Linked DNA regions of Astyanax mexicanus. The protein of the gene in region 2 interacts with the protein of the main gene of each other region in a pairwise test. Links are inferred from orthologs where the notes say so. Each region holds a gene or a part of one and is shown on either strand. Other genes may lie near its edges. The genes, in order: slc25a48, mid2, spg21 and hoxb9a.

The links.
Region 1: the proteins of mid2 (region 2) and slc25a48 interact in binary tests that used the Homo sapiens proteins (3 or more experiments, as listed by UniProt). The two-hybrid records come from large-scale screens. The link is inferred for Astyanax mexicanus from reciprocal best matches to the Homo sapiens genes MID2 and SLC25A48.
Region 3: the proteins of mid2 (region 2) and spg21 interact in binary tests that used the Homo sapiens proteins (3 or more experiments, as listed by UniProt). The two-hybrid records come from large-scale screens. The link is inferred for Astyanax mexicanus from reciprocal best matches to the Homo sapiens genes MID2 and SPG21.
Region 4: the proteins of mid2 (region 2) and hoxb9a interact in binary tests that used the Homo sapiens proteins (3 or more experiments, as listed by UniProt). The two-hybrid records come from large-scale screens. The link is inferred for Astyanax mexicanus from reciprocal best matches to the Homo sapiens genes MID2 and HOXB9.

Annotation. Positions count from the first base shown.
Region 1 is NC_064417.1:38,903,955-38,910,950, reverse strand, and holds the start of slc25a48 (solute carrier family 25 member 48), read left to right. Parts: upstream 1-3,990; 5' UTR 3,991-4,146; coding exon 4,147-4,192; intron 4,193-5,878; coding exon 5,879-5,922; intron 5,923-6,996.
Region 2 is NC_064417.1:41,297,196-41,304,715, forward strand, and holds the start of mid2 (probable E3 ubiquitin-protein ligase MID2), read left to right. Parts: upstream 1-4,519; 5' UTR 4,520-4,806; intron 4,807-7,520. UniProt on the Homo sapiens protein: E3 ubiquitin ligase that plays a role in microtubule stabilization. Mediates the 'Lys-48'-linked polyubiquitination of LRRK2 to drive its localization to microtubules and its proteasomal degradation in neurons.
Region 3 is NC_064423.1:9,407,289-9,414,796, forward strand, and holds the start of spg21 (maspardin), read left to right. Parts: upstream 1-4,481; 5' UTR 4,482-4,565; intron 4,566-5,670; 5' UTR 5,671-5,672; coding exon 5,673-5,735; intron 5,736-5,992; coding exon 5,993-6,154; intron 6,155-7,508. Other genes in the region: clpxa (caseinolytic mitochondrial matrix peptidase chaperone subunit Xa), read right to left, coding at 1,341-1,492, 3,094-3,148. UniProt on the Homo sapiens protein: May play a role as a negative regulatory factor in CD4-dependent T-cell activation.
Region 4 is NC_064426.1:33,305,606-33,312,565, forward strand, and holds the start of hoxb9a (homeobox protein Hox-B9a), read left to right. Parts: upstream 1-3,946; 5' UTR 3,947-4,260; coding exon 4,261-4,774; intron 4,775-6,885; coding exon 6,886-6,960. UniProt on the Homo sapiens protein: Sequence-specific transcription factor which is part of a developmental regulatory system that provides cells with specific positional identities on the anterior-posterior axis.

The DNA.
Region 1 (6,996 bases), about 2.4 Mb from region 2:
AGGCCGTCGAAGTGGAACTTATTGGCACCCCGGTTGAAAGTAAGACGGGTCTCGCCCACCACCTTCATGGGAGAGGAACCATCAGCCTGGTGAGCGGATTGGGAGCTTGGGGTCATGTGAACACCAAGGCGGTGCGCAGCAGACAGTCTGATCATGTTGCAAGTGGCGCCTGTGTCGAGGATGATGCGTGCATGGTGGTGTTTGTAAAAGGTGTCTATATACGGTGACTGTCTGACTTGAACAGCGCGGGCAGTGTGGGGCTGTGTGAGCTCAGGACACACAGGGGGAGGTGGCTCGTCATCAGAATATACGTGGTAAGTGGATGGGTCGGTGGATTCCTCACCGAGCACAGAGACAATCTGCCTGGCTTTGAGCATGAATTTACGGTCTTGTTCGGGTAAATATCTGCATGAACTGAGGAAGTGTGTGTTGTTTTGACGGCCTGCTTGTGTGCACAGGGGGCACGACTTTTCTCGTGGGCTTGATCGCATCTGTGTTTTGAGGGCACCGAAGAGGGGCTGACGGGGTACCGCGCCACTGTATGTGCGGTTAGAGGTGGCTGCTCGCATGATTTTGGCGTCGTCAGCTGAACGGATTTCAGAGAGCAGGGAGTCTAGAGCTTGGGAAATCTCGGGTTTAATAGACGCCAATGTACGAGTGCGCAATTCAGTGCCGTATCTCTGCTTGACAAGCTTAGGTAGGTCAGTATGAATCAAACGCAGCCATGACACGACTACAAAATTCTCAAGGGACGGGGACAGCTCTTCATCCTCAGTTAGAGTAACGCCATGGTGAGTTAACCCGGCTGCCTTAAGGAGACCATCCTCTGTGAAGGCCATAAGCCGCTGATATAAATCTTCAGCACGTTCGTCTGCTTCTAAATGAATGTCTACAAAGTCAATAAGCTGAGCCCCTGTGGTTTGGAAGCCATAATGTAAACGAATGGCTTGCCATATGCCCTCCACGGATGTGGAATTTTTGACAATAGTGTTACGAGAAATCACAGGGCAGTAATTGGCAATTTGGCCTAGCATGAGTTCTAACTGGCGAACTTTTTGTTGGGCAGTCCGCCTGTGTGCTGCAGCAAGTGACTCACCATCATCTTGAAATCCTCGGAGAGGAGTATCACGGCTCTTCTTACCCCATGACGTGCCATCGATGAGAAATGGAGCAAACACGGGATCCATCGAGAGTGTGTATAGTAGGTTTTGTTTCCAGTTTTCGAATGAATTCAGAGTCTCTTGTTTGGTCAGACACCATTGTTTCGGTGCACGGTTGATATTAGCTGCCATCACGTAAATTGTAGTTCACTCAAACTACCACCTCGGCTGCTGACACGTTCGTCGGAGTTGGAGAAAGTGGAGATGAAAGGCTGGGTTCGGTAACTTTGCGCTGCCACCACGCCAGTAATTAGGAACAACTCACAGCCGAGAGAGTATGTGTGTGTGATAACAGCACAACTTTACTGAAGAGCGAAGCGGGGGAAGGGTACACACAGGAGAAGGGCAGACAGCGCGCATGCGCCAAAGTAGAATAACAACAACCAAGCAGTGGGCTGGCGCTACGACACAATGCTTTTACTTTATGCTTGAGTCTGAAAGACTGGCTCTGTGTGTCAAAAAGTTTGTAGACACCTGCTTATCCAGTATTTCTTTAGAAATCAAAAGTATTTACAATATTTACTCATCTGGGAAGGCTTTATTCAAGGTGTTAGGACATTGCAGTGAGGATTTGATTACATTTAATCATTAGGGAGGTTAGGCGCTGATGTTGAATGATTAGTTCTGGATCACAACCTCCACTCCAACTCATCCCTAAGGAATCAGATAAAGCTCTATTACTGCATAGAAGGCGATTCTACAGCTCCACAGCCTAATGCTATGGAGAATAAATTTATTCTGATCTGGCCTGAAAATAACACACACAACCTTACACTGTGTGATGTGATCAGAGGGAGTTGCAAGAGGGTAAGCATTTAGAAAGTTTATCATGCAGTATTAACAGTTAGACAAACACAATAATTATGGTAATGTTTGAACATTGATACATAATATTTATTTCTAAGCTGGAAAATTTATTTAACCTCTTAACTCACTAGTGGTTCCTGTTTTTTCCCCAACTGGTAAAACTGGTCAGTTTGCATTGTTTTGCATCTTGTTACACGCTATAAGCTGCTATAAGATACATCGTAAGAACATACTATAAGCTACAAGAAAAGTATACAAACAAGATATACTTATTTAATGTCAGTAAAATGTATTAAAAACAACCAGAGATGTATAGTTGCTGTATCTGTATCTACTGAAGAATTATTATTTTTTCCTACTTCCACATTCACTTCACTGCATATTTTTCATGAGTTTAATACTTTTACTTTAATATATTTTATGTGCTGCATCGTTACTCGTTGCAATTACAAAAAAGTTACAAACAATTCCAAACCCTCATGATCACTTAAGCCAGAGCAGTAGATGATCTGCACTGTTACCGGTTTTGATGAAGCTCCTCATTAAGTAAATGAAGCAATCAAGCTGATCTCATAATAAGAGCACTTCTCTCATTCTGTCTTTCACTCTGAAAACTTTCCAGTACTTTCTGTAATAACTACACTAATAACAAAGTACTGTACTTTTACTTTCAGTACCTTAGTAGTACATTTAAGAATAAACTACACTCTAGTGTTTTAGTCAGAAGAACTAATATTATAAAGTTGAGTGAACTTACCGGCCAGTACAACTCAATAAAATGAGCTCAGAGAACTTCAACCTGAAAACTTAAAAATGTTTGTTAAGACAATTAAAAAATGTGACTTCAACCAACTTTTAGTGTACTACACGTGTCAATGCTCTTTTTACATTGTTGTTTCATACAGCTATATTTGCATATTGGGTGTGCCCTCTTCCTTACTTACCATCTATGTGTTGTCTGTTGCCCAAAGCTACCTTATCCAGGGCATGAATTAGAGTAATATATTTGTTGATTGTCAGCCCTCAGTGCTGTAGGCTGTAAGAGCAAGTTACCTTTATTCTGTGTTCCTAGTTGTCACAGTATGTTGACCTGGACCTACAGCTAAATTCCTTAAGCCCACAATACTTGGGAAAAAAACAGTTAAGTTAATTAAACTATTGTTGTGTGAACAAAACTCAGTTAAGTTAAATAAACTTAAATGATTTAAGTTATCATCTAGTTTTGACTCGAAATTGTATGTATTTACAAAATCTAAAAGATAACTTGACTCAGTTAACTTGAATGAACTTAAAATTCTAAATGTTTACAACCTAACTGAGTCAAGGCAAAATGATGACTTGACTAAGTTAAGTTGAGCCATTATTTTTTGTTCTGTGTACTCGCAATACTTAAATTCCAAAACTGTTGAATACTTTAGTACCTCCACTTAAGTGTGGTGCTTAAAAACACATCTACTTATATTCAAGTCACTTTTTTGATAAAGCACTTGTACTTGTAGTCTGGGTCTCTAGTACTTTATACACAATTATACACTACCATAACGATGAATCAATGTTGAATAAATCAGTTCTGACATCGGAGATCAGTGATGTTTTAAAGAAGAATTTTTATAATGTTGATTCTACATACTTTTGCTATCTGTGTGATTATAATTTTACAGTACGCATTTTATAATAATAAATAAATAAATACATTTTAGATCAGTATCGGTCAAATACTAAAGGTTTCAGTTTTAATATGGGTCAGTCAGTACTAGTTCTAAAACAGAAATTGGCTGCATCGGGCAACTTCTTAAAGAACTGCATAAAGTAAGCCAAACTAACAGGACAGTAAAGTGGCAGTGCCCCTTTCTATACATTTACAGCTTATAATCTATATGAAGGCTATGAGTTAGCTGGAAGTGTGCCACCATGGTATATGTTTTGATCCTGATAAGGAGAGCCAGCCTTCCTCGCAACGCTATTGGTGCTCAGACTTTGTATCTCAACAACGCCCCCAAAATGCACATATCAGAGGGAAAGTTGTGCTCTCAGCTTCAGGTCTGGCTTGTTTGGGTGCTGTGGGCTTTCAGAATCCGCCCATGAGCTTTAAAATGTACTCGGAAGTCTGAGGGGCGTCTGTGCTCAAACACATCAGTCAGTTTTACCTCAGAGCGAAGCGTCGAGCAGCTCGAGCAGGATGGCTTTTTTTCAGTTGGATGATTTTTTGGCTGGATGGATCGGAGGTGAGTGGCTTTTCTGTGTGTTCTCGCTTGTTGCTGTGTGTTTATGTGGCCACAGAGGCGGATAAACTGAAAAAAAAATAATAATAATAACAGACAGAAATAGTAATATTTCATCACAATTGCCTAGTTTAGTTACTAGTTTAGTTACATTGTGCACGTGCTTGTTTGTTTCAGTTGAAAAGTAACCAGATCGAGCCGCGTTTGCAACAGTTTGCCAGAACCGTTTGCTAGCTATTGTTAGATAACTTAAATGTGAGGAGCAGAGCTTTTTTCGTGATTTTCTGTGGACAGTTGTGGAGTTTTAAGAAAGAAATACCCAAGAAAATAAACACAGAAACCGTAAAATAGTTTTTTTTTGTTTGCTTGTTTGTTTTAGGGGGCGTTTCTGTCCTTAGTTTACCTCAGTTTCTGCAGGGTTTTTTTCGCATTTTTGTTCTTTTTGTTCGTTTTTTTCAGTGCAACTGAAATGCATATAGCTGCAATGGCACATAGCAAGCACGATATATGGATAGATAGAAAAAACATGATTGCACACCTAAAGACACTACAGAACCTCCCCAGTTTATATGAAATAAGCTCCATGCAAAAAAACAGCTCAAGACCAGCTAGCCAGAAAAAAAGATATAAAAAAATATAACTAGGTACTCTATGCTGGTAAGGAACAAACTAGCTGAATGAGGTAAACTACCAGCATATTGTTTGCTTGTTTTTTTTCAGCAGGGCTTCCACTAGTGAAAAAAAAGCTATCCCTGCTAAACGTAAAAAACTCCAGCACAAGAAAAGCAGGTGTTCTGTCGAGTTATGTTACCCATCGATACGTGTTTCCTATAGGTATTGCGCATGCGCTGACGTTCACTTTTTAATTATTTTTCTTATTTTCTTGTATTAAATCTGTTTTTTTTTTTGCATTAAACAACCTGGACCTACTGTCATTGCACAAAATTTTAAATGGAAATGAATAATAAATATATATATATATATATTTATTAAATTCAAAAGCAGTTTGTAATGACTCTCATTGCCATATCTTTACCATTATATAGTGGTTTATGCTATCCAAATATACTAACCTACTTCTACTGGGTACATGCCCTAATATAGTGGTTATTTTGTTTTTTTGTTTTTTAAGTTAAATATACACTAGGGAAGCACAGTTTGACAAGGTAGCACAACTAGACAGAACACCCCAGTCAACCAGAAAAAAACTCACCCTATGTTGGTTGGCAAGCTCATTAACAAGATTTTGACCAGCACAGGGTATGTTTTCTCTGAATTACCAGCTGTATTTTTTTAGCATGGATAGGTTTTCCCAGACTCCTAGTTTAGGAGTTTAAAGGGTTTCAAGTTTGTTTGCACCGCATATTGCTGTGGGGAGAGAGCTCGAGGCTCTGTGGGTTACCGGCCTGTGTGGCCACCCAGTGCTCAGATTTGCTTGCCGGCCGGCCTGCTGGCGTTGTGTCAGTCTTTTACTACTTGCTGTTTGTCTGTGTTCTGACACCCATAAAGCACAATGCTGTTGTATTCATCAAAAAGGACAAAGTGTTATTCATCAGTTTGCTGCTAGGACGTCCACCCACAGAAGCTGTCATAACAAGCTGCTCCTCATTCCCCGTGGCCTGTGGTGGCCTTTTAAAATAATTCACTTTTTTTGCCCACACACAATAATACTGCTTTATTTTCTTTCAGGTGCCTCCAGCGTGATTGTAGGACATCCACTCGATACAGTTAAGGTATATGAACCTGTTTTTCTGTCTGAAAGAACAGTGTGTAAATAAGAATTTACATTTTTACATCAACTCAAGCTTTTTACTTTTTTTTTTTACTAATAAAAGTGTAAAAATACTGGTTTTAAAACGACTTAACCCTTTCAGACCTGAATTATCTCCAGTGATGAAAAAAAAAAAAAATGCTGTTTTGTTTCTTTTTGTCTTTTGTAAACCATCCCTAAACACAGAACACACAAAAAACATGAATAAAAAGTGTTCTAAATCACATTAAATTAGTAAAAATGGTCTTTGGAACTGGTGCCTTTTTCTTTTGGGATCTTTGACTTTTGTGTTTCTCTTTTTGTTTTTGTATGGAAGTGGATATATGTATCTATATAAAAGATACTGAACAATGTCAGAATTTTCAGTACCGGGATGGGGTGGTGGAGTGGGAGGGGGGATTACGCTGGTATGGCCTAAACTTTTGTCTTTAATGCCATTTTTCCCCTTACATAAATTTAACTTTTACACTTTAAGGCCTTAGTGGCTCTAGTACTGCTGTTTTTCAGTGCAGTAGGCGGGGCCAAGCTACTGTTTTATTGGTTTATAAACATGTTCACTGGCTGGTTAATGGCCTATTCTGATGGACAACAGCTCTCAAATAGTGTTATGTGCAACAAAACACTGTCCATTGTAATGTATGCAGGGTCTGAAAGGGTTAAAGTGTAAAAGTTAAATTTATGTAAGGGGAAAAATGGCATTAAAGACAAAAGTTTAGGCCATACCAGCGTAATCCCCCCTCCCACTCCACCACCCCATCCCGGTACTGAAAATTCTGACATTGTTCAGTATCTTTTATATAGATACATATATCCACTTCCATACAAAAACAAAAAGAGAAACACAAAAGTCAAAGATCCCAAAAGAAAAAGGCACCAGTTCCAAATAGTTTCAAGTCCTTAATATTCCCAACAATAAAACACTAAATAATTCTCCCAAAAAGCACACATGAAAAATAGAGGGCCAAGCAAGACACAAAAACATTGATCCTACCCACCCTCATGACTTATTTTGCAAAGCTTCAGCAATAGTCCAGCA
Region 2 (7,520 bases):
TACTAATTTTCTGGATTATTAAAACCAGAGCAGCTGTTTTATTCAGGGTTTTCTGTTTGGCTCATGATGAAAGTAAACACTGGAAATTAGTGTTTACTTCTAATGCAAGTGTGACAGCTTATAGTGATAAGACTAGGACTGTCACTATTGATTATGGCCTAGTGGCCTTAAGCTTGTTAGTGTTAGGATCATCCTAACTGTTAATCTAAGAACAGAGAGTGTTGAGTCTGAAGCTCATGCAACCATTAACAAGGCATCTGTTGTTAAAACCAGCTTATTTTAGTTATTAATTAAGATGGGCAGGGTAACAAGTAATATTTACGTTTTTTTTGTCACATGCTATCGAGAAAAACATAGATTAATGTGTACTTTTCTAAGCATTTGTGTTAAATGTGTTGTATATGTTGTGTTACATTATATAGTCACTTTTTGCATGCCAACGATGATATACAAAGATATGCCTACACTCATGATATACTGGTACATACATGTATCACAATGTGTCATCTCCGGGGACATCTTGGGAATGCCCAATTGTGATGTGCTATCTTGTTAGCCAGGTTGGATATTGGGCAACGTGCTCATGGCAAGGCGACGTGGCTTATCAAAGTTGGGTGTGTTGTGCCAGCATTTAACATTTCTCAATCCACTACTTTATTGACAAAAAAAAGATTAGTTTAATTTATTTAAAGCAGGATTTTTGCATTGACCTTTTTAAAAGGATTCAACATGAACTATTTTAAAAGTAAGTTGAACCATCAGCATTAAACAACCTCTTACATTAGTGTCTCCATCAGCTCTCTACACACATCACTCATACACCACTAATACAACCGTTTTAACAATAACCTTAAATCTAACACCTGTACCCGAATGTTCCTGTACTCGCTCACACACACATACACAGACACACACACACACACACACACACACACACACACTTAGGGCAGATACCTACCTCTCTCTCTCTGTCTCTTTTCTCTCTACTCTCTCTATCTATTACCACATAACATCAAACAAGAAAAAAAAATATATATATATCTTCCTTTTCTATTTCTCCATTCTTTTTCTGTAAATATTCAGATCTATTTGTTGTTGTTTCCTAATATTTGTATCTTGTTTGCTATAATCCGTTTTTTTTTCTTTTCCCTCCCCCTTTCCTTTTTCTCTTGTAGTTTACAAATTGTTCAGTTATTATTATTATTATTATTATTATTATTATTATTAATTCTCTTTTTTCTATGTATTATTATTTTTTCCCCCTTTTCTCTACTATCCCCCACATGAACCTAAATATTTTTGATTTCCAAACTTAAACTTTAGCAATTTAGTTAGGATGTACTGTACTTCTGGCTTAGTATAGACTCTAAATTACAATTTCAAACAAATTTAATTTCAAGTAAAATTTATTCTGTATGTTAACACCACTCTAATTCACAAAAAAAGAGATTTTGTATGATTTTATTTAATGTGGTGAGTTAATTAGTCTCTAAGACTATTAACAACTGAAACCTCTTGTCAATGACACCCACCGTCAATTTGTAGTCATTTCCCCATTGGCTACCACCTCTAAATAATTACAATTAAAAAATGTGCTGATATTGATTAAAGGTAGTTGATTTCATTAGTGCATTAGTGGGCACTTTGGTTTTTAGTCAACATAAAGTGTATTTATATGAGTTAAGAAAATAAAAACAGTTGTATATACGTATTTCAATTAAGTAAGGATAAAAGGCTCATCTTCTACTGATTTAGGTAAAAGCATCTGGCTTGTTGAGTCAACATATCTTTTTTCCCACAGGTCAGTGCAGGGTTCTTAAGCTTCCATGTGACATGGCAAAAGTCCTGGGACTAGTTCATAGTTCCTAGTACATTTTTTACAGCAATTCTATAAGTTATTCAGTGGTAAGTACTTAGACACTACTTTTTGACTTTTATTAAGTAGTTAAAAAGGGGAAAAAAAATATGTGTTTTTGTATGATTTATAGTACTTTGCCAAACTCTTGCAATCAATCCTAATAGTATATCACAATCTCATAATATTATACTGTAAAAAAGACAGGTTCAATTTGTATTATCATATTGTAAATGATTAGCTTATCATCACTTCATGAAGTAATAATTACTCTATCAATGATTTTCTCAGGCAAGTAATAGAGTATCATTTTTAGAGTGATTAAGATTGAGGCCCACATGCATCAAAGCATCTCTATAGTATATTCAGAGCCTATTACTCAAGTCCTTGAAGGTCCCCAGAGACAGGAGGAATGAGAATTTATCTCATGCAGATGCCTCTCAAGGGATTCCAGCCTTTTAGCTCTTTAAGCCCCTCTTGCCCTTTCATTTGACTTGGACTTTATTTTTACATCTCATCTGTTTACTTTACACTGCAGATGCATGCGTGTGTGTAATCAGCCGATGTGGGAATTATCAGCGATATTGAACGTGAATGCTAATGTGATCAGTGGCGTGCAGGGTTTTATAGAGTGCCGGAAGCTGTAGTATAGATTAAGCACAATATTAGACTCAGTGAAGAAGAGTGCTCCATCACTGAGGGTATTATCTTTAATGCACAGTACAGAGCGTGAAGTTACTCGGGCTGGAATCTTCCGCCCACAGTAATTGCCATTCCAAATTTTGCATGCAGTCAGAATTTACTCCCTCAGCTGCACTAGAGTTTCACAAACAGCCAGCACAGTGTCAGCCAGTGATTCTGATCCTGGTGCATTTTACACTCTGGAACTAATTCGCTTTCAAAGGGCTTTCATGCCCACGTTATGCATTCCAAGGAGACAAATGGTTGCACAAGTTATTTATGTGGAGATTTCTGAAGTTAAAGTTGTGTTAAATACCTACTTGTGCAACATTTGTTCTCTCTGAGTGCTTATATTATGGAGAAACAGGGAGTTCTCTCTCTCTCTCTCCATGAAAAAGTTCCAAGGAGAGATTTTCCACTTTAAAATCTGCTTGTAGTGGACGGGGTCCAATGTGGTCTAGTGCAGGAATGTGGTGCTCATTCCTGATCCATGTGACTTCAGCCTGTGCTGAGTGTTTTACAGCAAAACCAATCAGTCATTAGTTTTCTTGCTGTTTACACTGTAGTGGGCCAATACAATCCTATATAATTTTGAATATAGATACTATTTTATTGTACACAATTGTTTATAGGCAATAGTTTGTACAATACAAGTCAATTATATTAGATTTTCTGTATTGTGTTTTTTTTTACATTGTAATAATGTAATATATGTATGTACTTAAATGTACTTTAATAGGGAATCACTAGTTTAGTTTAAACCCTTCAATTGTTTTCCTTTCTAAACACCATGGATCTGTATGCTGGACAAGGACTTAACCTATAGACCATATTTTCCTTTCAGTAGAAAATCTCTATTAAAAATGCTGTTGACCTGCATGACCAAGTGGGTTGACCAGCAAGACCAATGTGGTTGACCAACATGACCACCATAACCAAGCTGGGTGACCAACATGACCACCAAGACAAAGGTGGTTGACCAACATGACCAGCAACACCAAACTGGTCGACCATAATTACCAACATGCAAAAGCTGGGTGATCAACATAACCAGCATTTTAAAAAGATGGTCGACCAGCACGACCAACATGAAAATGTTGGTTGATCAACATGACCACCAAGACCAATGTGGTTGACCAGCATAACCAGCATGACCAAGCTAGTTGACCAACATGACCGCCAAGACCAAGCTGCTTGATAAACACGACCACCAATACCAAACTGGTTAACCAACATAACCAAGCTGGTTGACCATCTTGACCATCTCAACCAATCTAGTTGACCAACATGACCAACTAAAAAAAGCTGGTCGATCAGTAACACCAAGTATCACCATGCTAACAGACCAAGATGACTGATGACCTAACTAGTAGACCAGCATTGCCAACAAAACCAAGATAGTATACCAACAAGACCAGCATTACCAAGCTTTTTAAACCAAATTACCAAGCTGATCAACCAACATGACCAGTAGACCTCCCAGAATCAAATGAAACATGAACTATGATGGTCAGGAGCTGGTTAACCCACTAAAACCTAACAGCATAAGATATGTTTTGCCTGGAAAAACGCTTTCAGTCACCTTCACCATCAAAAACAGGTTTAGAGCTTGCAAAACCTGCTACCAGTGGAGAGCAGTCATCCTAAACTGGCTGCTTGCTAATGGTCTGTGTAACAAGAATGCCAGTGGTTTGACTCCTGGGTCTCTAGTGGCATAGGCCACTGAACACACACACACACACACACACACACACACACACACACAGATAAACACAGCCCAGTGCTGCCTTCACATCCCAGTAAAGAATCAGCATCAGCATGTAGCCACAATACCACACTCTTGCTGGTCATGCTCCAGTGTTTGAGTGGGAGTCGGTGCAAATGTGTGTGTGTGCGTGCGCGCGCGCGCGTGAGTTTCGCGCATGTGTATGCGTGTGTGTGTATACAGAAGAGAGCTGGGTGAAAGCTCTTCCCGTGGGATGGTCACGTGTCCTCGGGGAGTGTGTGTTACTCTAGGAGCCTGTCGGAGGGGGAATATGGTCCACAGCCGAGCACGCGCGCACGGGGGCCAGTGAGAGCGCGAGAGAGAAAGCAGAGCGACCAGCTCTCCAGCAGGCGCCTTTTTTATTTTCACGACAGCAGCTGGGAGAAGCGCGCGAGGGGAGCTCCACGCTGCGCTCGCTCAACTTTCGGTGAAACGGCAGCGCGAGCCTCTACGCGCGTCTACGCTGGAGCGAGCGGAGGATCGTCCGTCCGTGCGCGCGTGTGAGGTAGGCGAGCTTTGGTTACGTTACGTACGCATGCATGGAAACGCGCGCGCGCGCGCCCCTGTTGTGTTGTAGCGTTTTGTTCATTGCTGGTGTTGTTTGTTGTTGTGGGTGAGTGAGCGTGCACTACGCTACGCTACTAACCCAGCTGTTGCACCTCGTGCCTACTGTAGCCTACGTATGTGTGAGTGCGTCAATGTGTGTGTGTGTGTGCAGTAGTAGCAGTAGTAGACACTACGCGTTTGATGCCATCTTTTATTATTAATGCCATTAATGATGCATAAGCTGTCTCTCTGCTCCAAGAATTTAAAGGTTGTAGTCCTGGTGCTAATCTTCTGTTTAGTACTGATCCAGCATCAGTCCACAGTTGTGGGCTTTAGGGTCTGTCTACACTGGTCTCTGAAGTCCTGCTGAACACAGATGACCTCTTAAAATGAATTAATTCAAGCCTCCAGATGTTTAGATGTTTCTTCAACTCTGCATGAGCCTGCATTTTCATATTCATGCTCCTCCTCAAGTAAATTCCGATTTAATGCCAAATTATATGTAAATGAATATGAAAGATAGAGCATTAATAATCAGGTTACTTCAGGTGACTCTGATTCAGTTCACCTGCTGGAGACTGGAACCTCTTGCAACTCCAGTACCAGTTAAAAGTTTTCCTACTTTGTAAATTAATACTCAAGTTATCCAACTTAGAAGGAATACAAAAGGAATCATGTAGTAAATGTAAAAGTATAGCTTTTATCTGGAGGGCTGTTAACTTGTGGTTTCTGATAAACTTATCCTGTTCAACAGAGGTAACTCCTGGTCTTCCTTTCCTGGGGCAGTCCTAATGAGAGCCAGTTTCATCATAACATTTGATTGTCTTTTCAATTACACAATTTTTATTGTCTTTAGTTATTAGTAGTTATTGATATTATATGGATTATAACATTACTCATACGGGGCTATTCACTGTATACCGACTCTACCACTTGACTACACAACTGATGCTCTCAAACACATTAAGTGAGCATTTGCATTAGTGCTGAATTGGCAATGAATGCTGGGTGTTTGCATTTGTTCTCATCAGCAAGTCACCAGATGATGAATTCTCTGTATTTAAAGAAGTAAAACTCGTCCAGGAACTTTAATGGTTCTTGGTAAACATATTCCTTAGATTTGAAATGCAACTTGAGAAGAAAATATGATGTCATGCAAAAACAAGAACACATAATAAGAAATGGCCAGACACACTCCACAAATCCCTACAGACTTTTATTTCCTTGTAAACACACTGGAGCATTAAAAAGCATTGGTTTGAGACTTTATCTTGCCTCAGCATATGTGTCACTGCTGAAAAGTAATCACATTGCAAAAACAAAATTTAAAAAAACTAATTTCTATGCAAATCATATTTTTTTCTTAGTCACAGCTTTTAATACATGTAATAACTGTTTAGTAACACTAACAATGCGTGTAAGAAACAGTGTATCTATGGGGGAAGTACAGTACAGATACAAATCAATTACATTACACACATCAACACTTGACTTGTATTTAATAGTGTAATTTGTTTACATTATATAGTGTGTTTATGAATTTGTACATGTAATATAGTATGTGTGAATTGTTACATGTAATATAGTTTGTGTGTGTGTTTTTTACATGTAGTATAGTGTGTGTGTGTGTTTTTACATGTAGTATAGTGTGTCTGTGTGTGTGTGTGTGGGTGTGTGTGTGATTTTTTACATGTAACATAGTGTGTGTGTGTGTGTGTGCTTTTTTACATGTAACATAGTGTGTGTAATTAGTTGTGTAAAATGTCTGTTTCTTTAACAGCTCTTGTCTGGTATAGAATTAGGGTCCTCATTGTTTTTATTACTAAAAATCATAATTCAGATTTAATCATGGTAAGATGGACAGAATGTTCTGCTATGTTTAACTGACACTGATGCACACATGTAATTACATACCATGAATGACTGTAATCAATATTTAACTGTGCAACCACACACATATATCCACACATGTGTCATCGCAGTATTCCCTGACTTACAGGGGACATGGAAAATGTATTAAGACAATATACTGTGTTTTTTTTTTTGTCCTGTGACATTCAGTCACAATGCAAAAATTCGAGATTCAACTGATTGAAAGTTTCAAAACCTATGGTTTTCTTCCCTGTTAAACTTAAAAGGTTATTAAAATGAGATTAGCTCAAATTAGTTTAAAAGCAACGATATATTAAATATATGTATCCATATATTAGATTCCATTTGGCACATACACATCCTACATTTGCTTTACTTTGCTAAGATTTGATTACTTTTTTTTTATTACGTGCTTAACCTATAATAAATTAACATTATACAAACCCTAATATAAACAAATTAATATTATGTTTAGTGGTTTGTTGATTGGTGCTAAATATATATGAAATGTTTTTTTTCTGCCTCTAAAAGCCACACAGTAAATTTGCCAGTGTTAAAAACACTTTTAGAGTTAAATTAACACTGCAAGTTTTTTATTTTATTTTTTTACACTAAAAGTGTTGACACTGGCAAATTCATTGTGCACAATACTGGAAATTATTACACAGGATTACGCTTGAAATAAATAATAATAATAAAAAATATGGGTGATATAGTTATAAAGGAGTTATAAAGAAGACATTTTGCAGACATTCTGCAAATGTGGGGAAATTCATTTTCGACAAGCAAGGCTTAATTGTT
Region 3 (7,508 bases), on a different chromosome or scaffold from region 2:
CTGGAGCGGTTCACTTGAGGTGAGAACGTGATCTGGTCTGTATCTGATCCAGCTATTAAATATACTATTTTTATTTGAGCTTTAACTGCTGATAAGGTGCAGTTTAATCTGTTATATTTGTCTGATAACAGTAATTACCACAGCTATTAAACTCTGCTACATGCTGTTTACATGCACAATTAATGTGATAACTTGGTCACCAAGTTACGTCGCGCGCACGTAACAACAACGTTATTTGGTTAGCTGGGTGTGCTGCAGTTCTGCACTCGCAGCTGCACGATTTCATTTACTAAGTGTACATCTGCGGTAGGGGTGGGCGATATGGCCCTAAAATAATACCACGATATTTCATGGTATTTTTGCAATAACAATACTCTTGGAGATATGACAAAACACTTTTAAATAAAATATTTCAAAAATACACTATACACTGCAAGGAAAATATATATATATATTACAGATATATTATAGATATACTGGAACTGGCACACAAAATCTTCTTGCTATATTTACTTTCTTGCTCCTGCACCAGACAGTCTGACCAATCAGAGGAGACAATGTGCTTGCGTGGTTTATAGGTGAGCATTTTGCTGAGTTTAGATTTATGCCTGTGTGAAACCAAACCAAACAGAGGGAGAAAATGCTCCAAGTAAACAAACTTATCAACTGATCAACTAGACTATAGTAACCAACTACAGGTGTGGAAATGCCCTAACATTGCATTAGGCTATGTTGAATGTGTTGCGGTGCACATATAACTGCATTTACACAAACATGTCAAAGGTCATGGGATAGCACTATGTAATTACATTCAAGTAATGTTATCTCAGGAGACAGCTTGAGAACACTTACAACTGTATAAATTGTGAGGTTTTATCTTGTGAGTAAGGCTGAACACTGGCCAGTGTGCTCACAGCAAGGCAATGTGAATTATCAGAGCTAGATTGCACCAAATAGACAACACATTCTAATTTGGAAGTTGTTTAGACACGTATTAATACTTTATCCAAAGAGTCACTTGTGTATGATCTAGAAAACCTGAACTTATTGTAAACAGCACAATAAGTGTGTGATCACATCCACATTTAAGGCACAATAGAAATGTCTTATAATTTTGGGCATGTCAGTGTAATTAGCTCTGTCCACTGTCAAAATGTTGAAATGGTATTGCTAAGGGAATAAAAGAACATGTTCATAAGAAAACTTAAATTTGCTAAACAACATAACATTTTATTTTACCCATGCTTGCCAACCTGTTGCACATCCAGACAAAGACAATTTTAATAATTTCTTATCCCATTAAGCATAGGGATTTATTAAAGAAATAAACACAGAACTACCTTTCCACCATCTCCATCCTTCATCCCATCCTTGGATGCATAGTACACACAGGTCTCTGAGAAAGATCTCACAGGGACTTTATGGGTCAAACGAATTTCATGAGATCCTGTTCGGCTAAGAGAAAACAGCTGTACTCTTGATCCATGTATTCCTAGACAAAACATAGAAAATAATTTTAGTGACTCTCACACACACAGTAATGTAGGATGACCATATGTACTTATTTTTAAGTATGAAAAATAATCTAAATTGCGTAAAATATCTGAGAGTTCTTGTTTGTTTTCTCTGCCACACCTGGTCTACATGAAGCTGCATCTACACACAATCAGGTTAAACTGCTTAACACAACATTCAACTGACCACAGCCTAAACAAACAAACTAAATATACACAAACACACTTTGCATTTGAAATAATTAATTTAATCAATCTCACACTTAGTTACAGGCCTAACTTAGGCCTAAGTGAAGCCCCTCCGCCACTTAATCCCAACCACGGTGAATGCAAGTGCATCTCAAAATTCCTTTTATTAAAAAAAAACAAACAAACAGGTAGCTCAAAATATGAGAAAAATTGTAGAGTTACAGTCAGTTCAGTTTAAAGCCTTTAAATAATACTTATTAAAGTCAAACTCACTGTTCAGTGTAGATGTTTTACTACTTCTTGATTTATCAATTCCTTTTTTATTTGATACACTGTTACCTTACATAAACAAACCATTCGCTTTATTCAACAGTACGCTCCTTGGATTAAATTAATTACTGTCTCAATTTAACGAAAGCACCCAACTCCAAACCAAGGGAAATATTGAAAGAAAAAATATTTAACCAAAGCAGAGGTTTATTATACTAAGGAAATGATTTATTGAACTGAAGAAATAACTTATTAAATTAAAGGAACAATTTATTTAAGTGAAGGAGTGATTTATTAAGCTAAGGGAACGATTTATTAAATTGAAGGAGTGATTTATTAAATAAAAAGACAACAATATTTTAAATTGAGGAAACAATTCACTAAAAATGAAAGAAACAAACTTATTAAAACGGAGAAAACGATTAATTAAACCTGGAAAACATTTTATTAAACTGAGGAAATAATTTATTAAACCGAGGAAACGATTCATTATTTTAGGGCAACAGTTCATTAGTCTGAGGAAACGATTCATTAAACCGAGGAAACAACTTATTAAACTCAGGGGAAAAAATAATTAAATTATTTAGCTAGCTAATAAACTAAGGGAGTTATAAGGGAATAAATAACTGAAGGGTTTATTAAACTAAGGAATAATTTAGCTATTAAACTGATTGTTTATATGATGTAATGGATTGTTAAATTAAGTGAACGACTTTAAAAAAATTACTAACTTACACTGTTAAACCGATTTAGATATGTCTGTAAGTTAAATAGTAGCAATTTGGTGTATCAACATTCATACTTCAGCTGCTCCGTTGTTTAGCCGGTAGCTAACGTTAGCTAGGTTGGTTAAATGTCTGTCAGGTAGGTTAGGTTAGCTAGCTTTGGCTAACCGGGTATTAACTCCCCTGTACTCTAAAAAACATGCCTTACAACTACAATACTCAACAGTTTATTAGAAGTACATATCCAGTGTTTAGAGAACTTTCCATGTTGACCAAAAAATAAGCTTATTTTTTATTTTATCTCCTAGCTAGTGTTAGCTAGCCCACAGTCCAGGTCTGTGCTAAGCTAACGCTAGAGCTAAAGTTTTAGCAGCATAATAAAGTGTGTCTCTTACCTTTATGAGCTGAGTTTATGAAGAGTCTCGCTGCTGAGGTGCAGGCACAAGACATGGTTTCCTGCCTTAGCTAACTTCTTCTAGTTCAGCTGGAGTAAATAGCAGCTCAGCAGTGAAATACCGGAATATAATAAACAGCAGATATTCTAACCTGCTCCCCAGCTGTATACCATCACCACCATTCAGTTAGCTGCTGAACTCGCTAAAGCTAGCGGACCTGAGCGTTGAACAACTAGTGCAGGTCCACTGCTGCCCTCCTTAGTCCGTTGGGGTGAAATGAAAATGTCAGGAGTTGAAGGAAAGAGAACGTCAGCCTGCTCTGAGGGACACCGACCCAGGTGACTGGAGGGGAGGTTTAGAGCTGCTGTGGGTTGTGGCCAGATGACGCCAGATTATTACAGTACAGGAGATTTTGAATAACCTGAAATACCCCCAGAAATACAGGCCAGCTATTAAAAACCTATGTTTTTTCACTAGTAATTACATCAGCTGTAACGTTATGTATTGTACAATAGAAAAAAAAAATATTGTACAATAGTCATCCCCGGAAGAATATTATAGCCATCAACATCATTGTAATGGTATTCTGTCTACATATGCTATGTTAGTATTCATTTACATGGAAGCTTATCTTCTCCTTATATTTTAAATAAATAAAAAAGTAGGCACACTAGACAAATGTAAACTTGCACCGATGTGGGATTTCTAGGCCGATGCCAAATTTCGATATTACACAGGTTTACAGCTTTAAAAAAAAAAGAGACCACTTCAGTTTTTGAATCAGTTTCTCTGATTTTGCTATTTATAGGTATATTATGTTTGAGTAAAATGAACATTATTGTTTTATTCTATAAACTACAGACAGGATTGAAGCACTCACCACGAGGCCTCAAACTCAAATGTTGTGGGATCCCAAACAGATAGATCCTGGATTTGACATTAAAGATAATATGGTTCCAGTCTGTATAAATATATATATATATATTTATACTGTAACAGCAGGAGGCATTTTGCAGCAATCCAGAACACAGCATTTGTGTATGTATTTATTTATTTATATAATTATTTGTTTGTTTGTTTACATATTTATTTATATATTTATGTATTTATTTTTGTCAATGACCGGATGATAATAAAAATATTATACGTATATAATTAAATGTAATAGTTAATTTATATTTATTAAAATACAAATTAAAATAGTCAATTATTTTATTTCCATTAACATAAAAAACGATTAGACTACATTTATTAAAGGAATACATTATGTTATTAGCATAAAAATAATTATTACATTTTATTTTTGATTTATTAAAATATAATTTAATGCTTAAAATATTCTCCGTCACCATAACGTGGTGGTCGTACTGGGCATGCGCAGAGCCGTGTGTAAGATGCGGAACTCGCTGTCATATGACTTCTCGGTTTGTTGCTAAAATGGTGCTGATCCGAGGCTGAAGTCTCCGTTAAAGGTAAAACACATCTAAACAAAGCACAGTACTGTTATATTAACAGCTCTGTGATATAATGCAGCCCTTTAAGATATTTTCGGGGCTTATTTCAATGTTAGAATATCGCTATTTTACTCCGTATTTTAGAGCACACGACCAGCTGAACTTGGCTTTCTAGTCGACTTTTCCATTCCACCTTAAATTGTGCTGCTGTTAATACTGCCGCCTGAACACCCTTTGGAACGCAGCTAATGCCCCTGTTTTAAGGTGGAACCGAAAGTTCTGGGTCTAACAGGAGAAATGTCTGTAATTCTGCGCCCAGACATGTTGTTAGTAAGTGATATCGTTTAGTATATGCAGTTACTATAATAGGAATTGTGACAAAAACATGAGTTATCTTAGCGAGTAAGCTAGGTTAGGTTAGTGTGTGTGACAAAGTGATCCATCATTAACAACGTGATTAGATAAAAGCTGTGTAAGCTGTTGTGTGTACAGTTTTTTTCTTTGATAGTTAAGTAGACAGGGGCTTTACTGTAGTTACCTTTTTTCCTAGATTTATTTAGATTTATTGTCACTATTTAATATAGATGTATGTTGTTTTGGGCACGAAAATAAAAAAATATCCACTTTTTTTGTGTAAGCAATTTAGGCATTAAACATGGTTGTTTTTTTCTGATATTTTTAAGGTGAATTGTGTATATTAGGTGTAAGAATCCTTTAAATAAATGTTTTATTAGAATTGAGAAGTAGAGTCCACATATTATCTATCATATTTAAAATGACTAGTGTCTGTGTTATTATTTCAGTGTCAATCTGCAATTTTAGAGTAAGTGTTGATAACAGGTGTTATATGGTTCAATATAACGTTATTTTACAGTTGCAGTGCCTGCACTGACATTAAGTGGTCCACAGCAGGCCATGTTGGATGTGTTCTGGTGTTGTTCTAACATTAATGCTGTAATTAAATTATTTGTTCACTTTTAACAAGGAATGTGATGTTGCACAAAGCAGCCCTTTCAGCCGCTACTGAGGAGCATTGTTTCTGTACAGAGTCCTGCGCAGAGTTCTGTACAGAGTTGTGTTAAGTCTCTCTTGTGTCTTAACCTGTAAATTGATTCTATTTTAGAAATGGAGGAGATAAGAGTGTCTCCTGACTACAACTGGTTTCGAAGCACAGTGCCCCTGAAAAGGGTAAGCTTATGCTTCTGTTATATGTTTTAGTACAACTAGGTCAGGTTGTATGGTCTGATTGTTATTGGATTTCATTTTAAAATTAGTGGTATTTTTTGTGTTTAATATCCCATGACCCTTTCTTTATGGCTTCTTAAGTCGCTCCATCTCTTCATGATTTGAACCATGTGATAGCCTTGTGATCCAGCACCTTTAGGAATGTGACTGAGGCCAGGCTGCTGTGCTTGTGACACCGTGCTGCGATTGCTGCTTTTCAGATCATAGTGGATGATGACGACAGTAAAGTTTGGTCACTGTACGACGCCGGGCCAAAGACCATCAGGTGCCCAATCATCTTCCTTCCTCCTGTGAGCGGTACAGCTGAGGTTTTCTTTCAGCAGATTTTGGCTCTCACCGGTTGGGGCTATCGGGTAATTTCGGTAAGTTTCTTAAAACTGACCATTGTTCAGAGTGTCTGTAGAGTTTTACAAATCAAAAGTTCTAGTGAAGATTAAGTTGTCTTAAAGGAGAGATTTATTTTTCAAAGATGACTATGAGTAAAATGGTTTCACTTCATGTTGAAACCTGTAAGTATCATCTGAAACTTTCCTTTTATCTATTCTTATCACAGCACCGGAAAATTAGTCCTACAGTGTTTTGTTGTACTGTAAAACCCTGTACTGGTATCATGACAAAGTTCAATTAAATTGAATAGATTTTTTTCTTTAAAAACTATTGCATAGCTGTTTTACATTAAAGCTCTTCTTTTAAGATAAGCATCAAAAAATGAAAGAGCAAATTACTCAAATATTTGACAATAAGTGTCAATGACAGTTGTCACTGTTAACAAGCATTTTCTTATATGGCAGACATAATCAGCACATTTTAAATATACACGTGCATTTAAAAAAAAATATAAAAGTTTCTTTATTTCTTTTATTGTTGATGATTTTGGCTTACAGCCTATAAAAACCCAAAAGTCAGTATTTCGAAAATAGAATATTATATAACAAAAACTGGTCCTTTTGGCAGTGTGGGCAGTGTGCTCCATAAAAGTTGTTAGCAGAGGCAAGCATGAAGTGCTGTAAGATTTTGTGGGAAAACACTGCACTGATTTTAGACTTGATAATAAAACACAGTGGATCAACACCAGCAGATCACATGTCTCTCCAAACCATCACTGATTGGTAGAAACTTCACACTAGACCTCAAGCAGTTTGGACTGTGTGTCTCTCCACTCTTCCTCCAGACTCTGATTCCTTGATTTACAAATGAAATGTAATATTTACTGATGATCAGTGATGGTTTGGAAAGACATGTCATCTGCTGGTGTTGATCCACTGTGTTCTATCAAGTCCAAAGTCAGTTTTCCCAGAAAATCTTACATCACTGACTTTGGACTTGATTTAACACAGTGGACCAACACCAGCAGATGACATGTCTCTCATAACCATATGAGACCAAATGAAACCATATGACCATAGCAGTTCCCATAAATGAGCTGCTTGCACGTCTTCACATTGCCTACAAGCAGGTCAGTTTTCTCTGCTGAGAAGCGCAGAAGCACTGCGCTGTTAAAATATCAATTTGCCAAAGACTGAGAGCACCTGCTTCTTAAAGGAAAAGGCAAGTGAAACCCTGGTTGGTTTATTTCACCTTACGCCCAAAACACACCCATGATTAATTAAGAGAATTGTGCGTATTCTTTTGCACCCTTACGATACCAAAGACACATTGTCAAGCCCTAAATCAAGCTGTACACTGCACATTTGAAAATAGACCCACACTGTGTTT
Region 4 (6,960 bases), on a different chromosome or scaffold from region 2:
TTTAAGGCCTTTATTTCTTTGCACTCCGTTTAACATTCTAATAGAATGTATTTTAAATTATTGTGGTAGTGCTAGTTAATTCCGAAGGGAAATTGGACAATCAGGTTTGCTTTTTATACATACATGTTCGCTTTTATTAAAACCCACGTTGATAATTAAGGTCGATGCCAGTCGATGTTTAGTTATCAAATTAATAAAAACTGTAAAACACATTATAATCCAATACTGACATATTGCACACCATATATTACACTAATGCCAAGGCTGTTTCTTATTGTTTGCATTTCTGCACTTTAAAATAAACCGATTATCTTTAGATCTTTAGATTCTTGATCCTTAAAACTCAAAATAGAGCTAGTACTGTTATTGGATTGCATGTGTACATAGGAGATGTCTATGCTCTTTCTGTATTGAATCCTGCCTTGTGATCTCAAATATACAAAAGTCCGAAGTTCAAAAGTGAAATCACCAACAACAATGTTCAGGGATTTATTAATTTAGCTTTTGAAGTCCATGCGGCTTGTTAGTCATTCAGCATGACTTTGAGTATCAGTGAAAGTCGGGCTCACAGAAACGTTGGTACCGTCTTAGAAACAACGCCAGTGTTTACCTTTTATTTTTTACATGGACTGCCAGTAAAATATCAGAACAAATGACATTTTACAATGTTGAAATGAGGTTTGACCTTCATGTTATTGCATTGTCAAAGACGTTGCATTCCTGTTTAAGGCAACGTTGAAATGTATCTCTATTGTCGTGTGTTTTTAATTTTTCCCAAGCTGTAGAGCTTGCCTTGAATGATTTGAGAGTGAAAACTAATTCAAAACATATGCGGATATAACACAAAAAAATACAGCTGCTGCCTTTTTGTCTGAGCGAGAGAGAACTAGATCTCTGCTTCTGGGAGTCGCCATGTTTAGAGCCCACAGGTCCCAACGTCATAGGCCAAGCAGGACAGGAGGTCCTTTTTTGAACCAGTGGCAATCGAGTCGCTTTTACTACCGGGCTCGGCTGTTGAAGTAAAAAAAAAACCGGATGCGTTTGTGAACTTAAGTTACTATATACTGGGACACAGCCCATGATTTGAAAACTACAACGCATGCATGCTAACATACGTTCCGTCTTTTTGTTATTTATCTTATTATTTTCTATTTTTGATTTAACATTTACATGTATTATGCTCGCTTAACTGTGTGATTTCTTGCATTGGTCCCCATCCTAAAATCCGCTGCAGCCCACAAGCTCCCTCTTGCATGTCTGCTGGTGTGCTTCCAGCGTTAATTGGAGCTTATGTGTGATCAGGTAGTTTCACATTGTTGGGCTGAACATTTAATAACACAGAAACCTTAAACTGTCTGAATCACTCCAGTTATTACACATCGATGCACTGGCGCAACAAATTGATTTTACAAAGAAGCATTATTCTTGACTGGGAACCTACGTAGTATTTTTATCTTTAGCTCTAAAAGATTTGAAGATCTTGCTGATATAAGCCAACCTGTTGCACAAACAACAGCGCGGAGAACTAAAATATATTTCCCAGCCGTTCCTGTGCGGTCATTAATTCGTTCACAAGCATAATACCTTTTATGAATGTTCAAGCGCGCAGCAGTTGTAAATCTGCCCACACCGAAAGCGGGATTATATTTATTTATTTTCATGAATCTGCATGAATGTGTCTAACTGTCCATTTGTATGTGTGTGTCGTTAAGTTTGGTGCTTAGTCTCATATAGGTAAGCGCATAGTGGTATTTGTTAGGGACACGTATTTCTTGTGCCTTGACAAAAATAAAAAGGTTAATGCAAAATTAATTACAGTTTATATATATAGACCGCGTCGACATTATTTACGGGTCGTATTTATTGTGGATCACACTATCGACTAAAGTACAAACCAATAAGAAAAGTGAGCAAAATAAGTAAACACTTTGTAAAGTATTAAACCAGAAGCAATGAACCATCAAACACAAGCAGTTTAGTTTTTAAATGCATTTTTTTAATGACTCCATGACTGGAGTTATAGTTTGTCTACACAACAGATGTTTTTCAATAGATGTTGTTTATTTTTATTTTCAGAATCAGCACTTTCTCAAAATCATTTAGTTATTAGTTTTTAGCGTGTAGTAAAATAAAACATGCAGCAAAATTGCTTAACTTGACTAAACTAAATGAAAATAAATATATACATAAGTTATTTCGTCAATAATTCTAAATGTGTGACGCTAATTTGTAAATGTATACCTTTGTAAATTTAATCCATTACTTTTTTTATGTTATTTTGCATTATGTGTACTATACCTATAATAAAATAATGAAATCGTGCATTCTGTAATTTGATTATTTCATAGCATGTAGCTTTACCTAAATAAAGGCAATATCTGTAGTACTACGTTATTAGCGTTGAGAGCTGCTTAGAAAAGCAGATATATAATCGTCTGATGATTAATTGTAGAAATTAACATGACCGACATACTGGAAGATACTGAATATGTATCTATAGTAGGAATTCCTACTACAGATACACACTACACAAATTAGTTGAATAGCAGTGGTACCTTGTGCAAGCATGGTTAAAATAGGCCTCCATCCATCTTCAAACCCACATTTCTGAATGGAGATTTTCCTTTGAAAGGAAAAAAAAATCTAGAACTAGGCTTAATCCCTGCCCACACATGTTCCCAATGTTAAACGATATATATGGTGTTAATTTTAACAGGCTAGATGAACCCTAAATGGGAGAACATGAAGACTCAAAAAGTGTGTTTAAATTCTAAGTACTAATTTACCTCAAAGGAATGTAGAAATATTGCGATTAGCATTTAGTGTTTAGGAGCTTAACATTTTTGTGGTTGCTTGCTTTCCCAAAGCTTATTGCACAAATGTATTTCATTATGAAGTTAACACTGTTTGTATATAGTTGCAGAGTGTGTTTGGCCTTGAGGTAATTTTATAATGTTGTGCTTTGTTTCTTAAATAACACATTTAAATGGTGAAATGTAAATAAAGACACGTATTTACTTACCATTCAGACTCAAAATATATAACAAATGAACTGTATGAAAAAGAATAGAACAATACATGTGATGATGAAAGCACATCTTTTGGAAAGGTCTTTGCTTATATATTTATTTTGTGGGCCTGTGATGTAAAACATAACTGAAAATAATTTGGCGCACGTGGGTTAATGCTGTTTATATTTTGTATGTGATTGAGGAACGTGGCTAAATATATATATTTTTGTTGTACAAAGGGAGTCACCAAAAATGACGTCATATTTTCATAGAATTTTTTTTTAAATTAGCACTCATTTCTCAAACCAAGTGTGTCTGAATCTTTTTTTTCCTCATGAGCGCGTGCGCTAAATCCTACGGCAGACTCGTTTACGGTCTTTGCCACAGGCAGTATATCAGGTCTATAAAAATCAAAGCTGGCTGATGTAGTATTTTATTATAGTATTAAACGACGAAAAAGTTCAAGTAGTTTCTTCCATAAATACAAGAGAATTGTCGTTAGGTACTGTTTAACACACTCGTTAAGAAAAATTACCGTTAATTTCCTTATAAACCCCAGTATTATCTCCACGCGCCCCGAATAAGACCAGTCAACAATAAAAGCCCAGGAAATGCTGTAAAATGTTCCCAAAGATGTTACAATAGAGAAAAACTGCGTTAAAGATAGATGAACTTGACAGACGGATTATGTTGTCCTCACTAGAGCTCGTAGATACCTTTTTAAGCTTTTTGGAATGTTTTTTCAAACTAACGAAAACTGTTTTGCAGATTTAGGATTAGGAATGCTCTAAATATATAAAAATGCTTACATTTTCTAATGTAAATATACACAAAATATATTTACTATGTAACTGGTATGCACAGGCCTTTGCATTTTTATTCATATTGTCAAAACGTTGTGTAATTTAAGCGGATATTTCCCCGACAGGTTGTAGATATCTTAGGATATATTCACATACTCCCACTTTGCATATTACATAAACAAGACAGTTTATTTAGAGGCGAAAATATGGATAGCGCAAGAGGAGGAGAGCTCAGCGCAGCCCCTTGGCGGATTGATTTACGCCCCATTGACTCTTTATCAGGCTCGCAAAAAGACTGACCAATCATTTCGCTCGGAGCTCACAACAGAGCAGCCTGGCTCTACTTGCTGGCGAACGAGTAGCGGTAGCATTTTGAAAAGGGGGAAGCCCATTTCTATGGTACATGTTTTCCCTTCACTGAACCGTAAGGTGTATAATGTCCGAGAATGTCCATTTCTGGAACTTTAAGCAACTACTATGTCGATTCCATTATAAGTCATGAGGGAGAAGATCCGAGCGCTGCCCGATTTGCCAATGTACAGTACTCCAATTCTAGGCAGCCGGGAACCGGGGAGCATCCCGAATTCCCTTCGTGTAGTTTTCAGCCCAAGCCTCCAGTATTCAGTTCGTCATGGAGTCCTTTCAGTCCGCACACGTCCAATGGCTTACCGGCGGTCTACCATCCTTATATCCCAACGCAGCCCGTGCCTTCAACGGATACACGGTATCTTCGTTCATGGCTCGACTGCGCTCCGAGAGCCGAGCCGTTGCCTGGTCAGAGTCAGGTCAAGATGGAGCCACTGTTGGGACATCTCGGGGAGCCCCCAAAACTCGGAGGGCAGCACGAATATGTTTTGGAATCCTCCTCGGCTCGGGAGATGAATTCTGGCCACAGCTCGGGATTTGAAGACAGTAAGGACATTTGTGAAGGTAGCGAGGACAAAGAAGGACCAGATCAAAGTAAGTTATAAAAGAGGAAGTAAACAGTCTGTAAAGCTTTTAATGCTGCCATAAAACGCGAACAAAGCAACTGCTGAGACCCACAGCCTCCCCACCCTGCCAAGTTTGCTCATGTGGCAAGCAGAGCTCGAGAGCAGGCATGTTTGTAGGCAACATGAATACAGAACTCATGAGAAGTTGAGCATGCTTGTGATTTTAAAAGCGAATGTTTAGTGCAGTTACTGTGACTTTGTTGTTCCTCGTTTAGATAATTAATCTCTCTATCTCTCTTTCCCCACTCTCTCCCTCTCTCTGCGTCAACGCTTGTTACTTGCGCTTCAGTACTACTTAGATTCTTGTCTTTCGTATTCCATATTTGTAGCCAGAGGCTATATATATTTTTAAATATAAAAATACTTGCATAGTGAGTTGTAAGATAGCAACGACAATGGAACACCACAAACTACTCCGCAACTGTTGTAATTGACCATGTGTCTGGATGTTGACTATTGGTATATTATCACTTACACCAATTCATGTGTGGGTATGGAAAGCACAGACAATAAGAGCTACCCCGGAACCAACTCAGAAGTAAAGCATGAGCAACAGTCCTTTTTAATATGTGCTATATTTGGCAATGTTCATAAATGATCCACTACAAAGGTGACTGGAATACGTAGCCTATGTTCCAATACGTGGAAAGAACATCGATTTTAATTCCCGAAGTAGGCTCGATCAACACAAACATTAATGGAATTGAGCGCAACAGAAATCCCCATTGTGCTGCCCTGGGCGTCGCTCCAGTATAAACTGTAGAAAAAATGAATGTTGAGAATTACATGGCACACGTTGTGCTCGTGGATGCCCAGGAGAAGGATAAAGCTTATTGCCCACCAAGTTTATTAAGTTAAGGGGAACCAACATATCCATTTATTGTTCTGTGTGTCCTTTATTGGATGTATAATGCAAAATATGTACATGACCAACTATACTATATCTGACCTCGAGGAAATGCAATAGCGTGTTTCAACTATGAAACCCCCATTTGTACTAAAACTAATTTGACAGGAGACGTTGCCAAAAAAGAAACTTCAAACAGGAAATAGGAATGTTTTTCTCGCTATAAAACGAATAGCATCATGCATCCAGGCAGTGTTTATTATTTCAGCAAGTGTGGGTGACTTCATATTTCTCATACATGTACATAAGGCCTAGATAAATGACACATGCCTAATTCTTGATAGGGGTTTCTTCCTATTCGTGATATAAAGAAAGTGCGTCACAAGAGATATCTAAGACAGTTAATGTAAGACTGGAGTGAGCGGTTCAATGTGTTAGACGATGTATGCGTGGAAGAAAATTGCTGCAGCAAGAAAAGCTTTCTGTGAGTCTCTAACGTTCAAGCTCGTGACCCTCGCTGGGGCCGAGTTATGTCTCCAGCATTTGATAGTTTGTCATTCGACGACAAGACGTTGCTGGATTGTAGATAAAGTGATTCCGAGTTTGGGGAAAATGTTGACCTCTGTTATATGGATAAGAATGTTCTTCTACATTAGTAGTCCACAACTGAATGGTACCCGTTTTCAATGATATTGATTTTTAATTCATACATAGAGTCTTGAGCAGTAACATTGTTGCTAACAGAGCACGCGATACAGTCTGCTGTCTCATCCCAAAGGCAATTTAATGGAAACATTTTTTAAACATTCCCATCTGCATTCCCGAGAAAGCCACAGAGGAAAAGGAGCCCTACACTCTCGTCACAATTCTCTTCATATTTCTCCCTAAAAGGAGATAATATCATGGCTCAACGGATCGCGGTTTCAAATGCATTCCAGTATGGTTTAGAATGACACAAAGCCATGACTGGAAAGTCGCAACACAATTGAATTAGTCGGATTAATGTTTTGATTGTGGACACCAGCCATTTAGGCAATTTGTATAGGCTTATTTAAGGTAATGGTAGTAGTTGCAAGTTATGTTTTACATTCAATGAACTCAAAGGACCACTATGTCTGCTTGTAATAGTAGTCTGCACGCATCTCTAAATTTTATCTCAAGTTTTGATATAACCATCTGATCTTTTGTACAGTTTTCTCATTACCAAACGTTGATTGTGTTGTCATTTGCAGATGATCCATCGGCCAACTGGTTGCACGCCCGTTCGTCCAGGAAGAAGCGATGTCCTTACACGAAATATCAAACCC